Linked DNA regions of Drosophila melanogaster. The protein of the gene in region 2 purifies or fractionates together with the protein of the main gene of each other region. This does not show direct contact. Each region holds a gene or a part of one and is shown on either strand. Other genes may lie near its edges.

What was found.
Region 1: the proteins of hlk (region 2) and CG14315 purify together in Drosophila melanogaster (affinity purification with mass spectrometry, with the first as the bait; one large-scale study listed by BioGRID). This does not show direct contact.

The regions. Positions count from the first base shown.
Region 1 is NT_033777.3:18,156,991-18,160,014, reverse strand, and holds CG14315 (uncharacterized protein), read right to left. Parts: upstream 1,315-3,024; 5' UTR 1,246-1,314; coding exon 592-1,245; 3' UTR 544-591; downstream 1-543.
Region 2 is NT_033778.4:6,738,960-6,742,719, forward strand, and holds the start of hlk (hulk), read right to left. Parts: upstream 1,714-3,760; 5' UTR 1,294-1,713; coding exon 1,080-1,293; intron 1-1,079.

The DNA of each region.
Region 1 (3,024 bases), on a different chromosome or scaffold from region 2:
CTTCACCTGGCCAAACTTTTTGATCCACCGAAGTTTGTGAGTTTATAAAACTAATTCTAAACATTCAGACTTTCTAATCATATTGCATAGTTTATGAGAGGCATAAGGACATCCTTGGTCTGGTCTAGAAATAGCCTTGAATGTGTCCACATGTCATGTGGACCAGTTTTTTTTTATGAATGAAAAAAGCACCACACCCAGGAGCACCGGGGCAATGCTTCACCTTGCTCTTGACTGCCGCTTTGCCCCAAACATCATAGTACATATATCGATTGTTCGCTTTAACTTTGGACCTGCGCACTAGCAGATACAGATACTCGTACCAAGATACATAGATACTATAGATACGCGTACTTATGTAGATGTTTTGGCCCCAGCTGCTTATCACTGGCACATTGACGACAATGAGCTTTATATGATGCAGAGACCGAACTGTTGCTTCCCACTGACGTCATGGGAATGCTGATGATTAGGGTTTCTTGCACCGAATGTAACCAAAATCCAAAGGCTGCATAATCACCGAGAAAAGCGATGCGAAGTTTTGTTTATCATGTAATTTGTAGTTGTATAAATGAAGTTAATGATAAAATATCAGATATCTGTGACTCCACTGTGGGTAAAGTCCTGAAACCAGTCGAACTGCTCCAGCCAGCGTTGCATCACGCCGCCAAAGACGTACAGACGCACTGGAACGTAGTCGACCTCTTCGTTCACATCGTCGGAGGAATTGGATGACTCGCGTTCGTTATCCGAATCGTCATTCGACAGAAGGACATCCAACGCAATGAGGCAGTGCAGCAGATAGATAACACTGGACACCAATGAGGCTGTCGCCTGGTCCCGCAGGCTACCGAAGAACGGATGGAGCGGCTTCTCCGGATATAGTAAATCATCCGGGTTCCTTCCATCATACCATATATAGAAATCCGTCTCGGCATCGCCCAGTGCCATCAACGATATTACCGTATATAGAACAAATCCGATCAGAGGACGCACAACTTCCTCAACGATCGATGTGCGATGACCGGTGCAGAGATTTATGCTGGCAAAGAGCGTTACCACTGTGAATATGTAAAAGAAGGACATATAAAAGCTTTGGATTAGAACATCTTCCCATTTCATCGTTGTCAGATTGACGAAAACAAATGCTTTCAGTTGGTAGTACAAAACGAATAAGTTGGCCGTCGTCTCCACCATGTAGAAGAGAAAGAGCACCGGGCGCATTTGATACAAGTAGACCCTCATTTCTGCAGTCGCTTCGAACGCTTGACAAAACTAACTACAATAAGTCTGTGCGACAGGTGTACTATGTTTGAAGTGAAACGCTTTAATTCCAGCTCAAAAATTAAAAAAAAAAAAAAATAACAGAATATGTAGAGCCAGGAACTAAGCTCAAGTCAATTTGGTCAAAAAGATTTGGCTAAAACTACATAAGCGGCCCAAACGAATGGTCAAAACGAACTGACTAAGATGAAAGACCAAAACGAAATAACCAAAGCAAGACAAAAACGAAATGATATAACGAAATTAATGGCCAAAACCGAATGACCAATACGAAATGGACAAAATGCCATAACCTAAAGCAAATGGTCAAAAATGGTCAAATGATCAAACGGAAGGAGCAAAGCGAGGTAGTTTCGAAAGAGCTTCATTCTACTAATTTACAATTTAATTCAGATTCTTGAAAATATGTTCATTTATAAGAGTCAAAACAGTTAAAACAAATAAGAAATGTATAGGCCATAGGTCTGCTACAATTTGTTAATGGTTTACATTCTGCCCAAAGGGTTTCCACAAAATGCACTTTGTACCCGGAATGTACATATGTATGTACATACATATATGTAGTTCCCATTAGCGAACTCGAAAGACACGCTTTTGTTGTAGCCTCGGTTTCTTTCTCGGATGGAAAGTGCTGCTTTGGGCTCGGCTCATCTCGTCTGATCATAAAAAACCACTTCACTGCGGCGGTTGGTGCTTCTGTTGCTTCGTTTGCTTCTGTTGGCCGGACGGACTGCGTCTGGAAACAGTAGCAACATTTGCCTGCCAGTTTGATGCTGTTGACTGCTGTTGACGGCGATTACGTTGATGACGCGCAGACCGCAACGAATTTACGCGCAATTCTCCACCGTGCTCCAAACTTCAAGCTCCAAGCTTCAGATTCGGCTCCAGCTCCAGCTTCATCTGAAGTGGCTACGGGGTGGGGGTAAGCATTTAAATAAATGTTTGTACACACGAGCCGCTCATGAAACGCCAAAAAGTTAGTACACTTGTACAGGAACAATTGAATTTTGGATGTAATATTTAATTATGTACTTTGGTCAAATAGATTGGTGTAATCATAGGACCTAAGCTAACTTTTGATTTTTAACTTATGCAAGTTCAAATACTGGTTGCACTTTTATACATACTTTCCTTTCATATTAATCAATGGCTATAAATGCAATGCTACATTCGTTTTTTTATATATATATTTGAGTTCAATGACCTTTAGGAAATTGAGATAAGTTGGCAGTACCCTGCGAATGCTCCGACGATGCGAATCGATAAAAAGTAATAAGTAATAAGTAATCGATATCCTTAGCGCCGTGTATTCCCAAGTTTCCGCGCAATTGTGTTATTTATTTATTTTTTAGTTTAAATCGCGTGATTTTGTGTCGAATATTTTTCCGAGGGTGTAGCTTAATCCGTGTGTTGGGCAAAAAACTACAAGAACGGCCAGAAAAATCACAAAGCCCTGTCTGCTATTGTTGTTGTAGCCACTGTATTGCCTGTTGCAAGCACATGTGTGTGTGTGTGTTTGTGCAAAGTAAAAGGGTTAATTCATTTAACCATTTCGACTGCGTCATCTCTTTGTGGCTTCTTAACATAAAAAAGGCTGAATGCTGCTGCAATTTTGACAAGCGAACGCACCGCATTTTAGCGACTTTAAGTGCAACAACAAAAGAGGGCAGCTGCTCCTTACGTACATAAATACATATATGTATGTACATATGTATGTATGTACCTGTGTACACATTTTAT
Region 2 (3,760 bases):
GGCTCCAACACTAAGGTGTTTCCTGTGTACACCAGGTGCTTTGGAAAATCCACTGCAGGATGTTTGATTTAAAATCATCAGAGTGCTATCGCATGCAGTGCAATAACATAAATAGCGTTCACTTGAAATAATAAACACATTTAGCTTATCGATAGAATTCGTTTACATATTGAACTATCTGCGATTTAATTGCCAAAACTATTCAATGCTCTGCCATTTGCGTAGATATTCCATGATTATTTCGATTGTCGGCCAGCGTCATTGGGCCTGAGGCTTTTGGACTTAAAATATTTTCATTGTCAACAATTATTTTTGGAATTGCCGCCAATGCTAATGAAACACATCGTGAGGTATATGTACATATACATATAAAGGAGAATATTACAATCCGAAGATCACTTTCGTGTTTATTAACTTTGACATTGGGGAACAGCGCGCAAATGCCCAATCTATATTTAAACTGATTAAAGAGATTTAATAAATAAGCCATTCTTTCACGCGAACGGTAACCATTTTTTTTTTTTTTTTTTTTTTGGTTACCCAAAAACAGGTCACCAATGGGACCCACTGGACAAGGGGATTGAAAATAAATTTAAAAGGGCAGGAAATCTGTTGGCAACTGCTGGAAGGAAATTAAATTCTGCTTCATAGGTATGTAGGTATATTTTGTGCCAAAAGTTTGCGCCAAAATAGACTAAAAAACCGAAAATATAAAAAGCTGCAAAGACGATTTCTCACAGCCAAGAGAGATTTCTCTACTCATAAACAGATCGCAAAGATAGCGCAGAAATGAAAAAAATATAGAAAAGGGAAGGCAGCACAGACTACTGGCAACTCGGGGAGGAAATGAAGAAATAGAAAAAAAATAAAAAATTAACCGAATGAAAATCGCGGACATTTCGAGCAACGAATTTTTCACATATTTTCATTTGTATGTGAATTTTTAGAATTTTCACTAGCGAAAATTTATATAATATGGCTTCTGTTACTATTTCGAGTCCGGTACGGTCCGGTCTGACGATAAATGAGCGGTGCCCGGACGACCCCGAGAGCACTGGCATAACCACCCTCCCACTTACACCAGAAAACGGCCACGTAATCCTTGTCGGCCAGGAGCTTCTCCAGCTGCTTGGCATTGACCTCCTCGATGACGGCCTCCGGCTCCGGAGGCGCCACTGGCTGCGAGCCCTTCTTGTTGTTGTTGTTGCCTGCACCACTCACATGTCCGGGAAAACTCAGGGCCAGCAGAGCACACACGAGCAGCGAGAGAGTCTTGAGGCGGGTGAAAGTCATCCTGCGATCGGTTACGGTTCTGATGTGCTTTAGGCCCTTAACGCGAACATGCGTGCGCGTGTCTGCTCGTTTTGGTGTGTTCTACAGTTTATAGTGTTATAATTGTATAATTGATTCGTTCTCGTCGTTTGGGGTCTTTCGTTATTAAAATTTGTATTCCTTTGAGAATCGGTCACTATTTTTAGTTGATAATGGTGTTTCTTCTTTCGCAATTTATTTTATGTATAACAACTTTTTGTTCACTGATACATATATACGGGGTTCGTATATGCACAGGCGAGATATATGTGGGGTATATACGAGAATAATTAGATTATATATGTGGTTTCTTGCTTCTATTAATTGAACGTTTTCCGCGGACTGTACTCTTTGCTCTTCAGATTTTGTTCCACTCCGTGCAGAGGTCCGCTCGCAACTGAAATTATTTTGGTGGAATCTCGGTGCCATTCAAGAGGCCTTGCCCGAGCTTTAGGGATCGGGATCGTGGACTTCGTGCTTTGGCGCAGCTTTTCCGCTCCCCCGAAAAGCTTTCGCGTCGAGCACAGGAGCGCCAATCGAGTGAGCAGTGTGGTGAAATCAGGCAAAGAGCAAGAGTTTCCCTTTTGAATTGCAGTTCTCTGTTTATGCATTCGGTGCAAACAAGAAAGTGACTACGAATAGTCCTATAAAAACAAACTCGGAGAATCGCTTTCATTATGCGCTACAACAATTCACAGTACTTTGTATTCCCCATTTTCCCTTTGGTAAACACTTTTAACAATGTGTTTCGAGCTAACATTTTGTCAACGTTATGCTTAGTCTAAAATAGAAAGGATTAAACTTCCCTTTGCTAAGAGACATAACGTGACATTGTTGAATCTTTAAGTTTTATAGTTCCAAAAATCTATGCGTTTATAGAGATAGGAGGACATGAACAGATCGAATCGGTTAATGATCCTCAATAAGAATAAATGTAAATTCTAGGGACGGAAACGTTTCCTTCCAGCAGTCAACTATTATGTAAAAATCAACAAATATACCAAATTTTGAATAGGATCTAGAGAATGATTTAAAGTTACTGTTAAATAAGCCTTCTCGAAAACTGTTGGTCATCGAAAACATGGAAGATGAGACCGGATTTACAAGTGGTTTTCTGTCCTTAATAGCTTTATTTGTATTGATTAATGTAAGAATTCTCAAATTCTAAAGATTGGCATCAAAACCTGATCCAACTAATAATGAATCCTTTTCAACTGGTTATCAACTATGACCTTTGTTAACGTCAAACCACCCTCGCGAATTATTTGGAGTTCGTTTCTGCAACACACACAAAAATGAAAGTCTCGGTATCTTGGTACCTGTATTAATGTTATGGAGGTTTATTCAATATTTTACAATAAAGCTAGGCAAGTGATAAATCAGAAATGTTTTAATCAATTCGGATATGTTCAAAAAATCTAGTGATGCAGTTGCACTTTTTCTCGGAGACTCCCTTGTTTATAATTTGCAGGACAAATAAACAAAAATAATACAGCCTATTTTGGGCTTTCAAACAAACAACATGGCCGCCATTTGGATTTGAATAGCTATCGATAGGTGCCGTCGGCCAGCTGACAATCCATCCACTGCCTATCGATAATATCTAGCTGAGCAAGATGTACGGATTTGTGAGCACACACTTTAGTTTTTCGTTAGGAACGGGACGTTCGTTCTGTTGCGCACCAAATTTTTTCGGACCCAATGCAAATGCAAACGCTTTTGCGGCGTGTGTAGTGCATTCAAAATTACCAGATACCCAACGGGATCCAAAGTTCCCAGAGCAGTGGCACCGGAATCGATGCGACCAGCAGTCAGCGGAAGCGTAAGAAATTCGCGCCTAGGTGGACAAAAATCGATCTGTGACGCGGTTTAAACCAAGGTAACTCCGCTATCCATGAATAAAATCAGCTCTTCCCACGGGTGCTTCCGCCATGGGGCCACAGTGCGGGTCCTGTGGCCAATTCACCTTGAACCCAGTATTGCAGAAGGGGCCGCATACCAAGTCCAATTCCCTGCGCTTGTGTGTATACCTGCGCCTCTTCCGCATGTGTGTGCATAAACATTGACGCCCACCCGCCCGATAAACAGCTGTTAGACCGATTGCCGTCCGCTTCCCCAGATTTCCAAGGCGGTCGAGGCGGAAAAGGGGAAGGCCCCTTATGAGCGTAGGCTTGACGGGGGCGGGCCCGTGTTTGTGGCAAGGCGAAGGTGAAAGTCATCAGCTGATATGGGCCAGCCTGCTAAACCCGTTATGCAGAGCAGCTGTTCGACGCCAACTTCATATGTGGGACAAAATCCCAGCCGCGAACTCACATACTGGGTTCCCCAGTTATATCCGGATAGCGGGCACCTCGCTATCGCAGGCCGATATAAATTAGAGGCTTTCGCGCTGCAGATGTGAGGCCTAATTGAAGATTTCTTTGTTCGTTCGCAGGCTGCACGACACTTC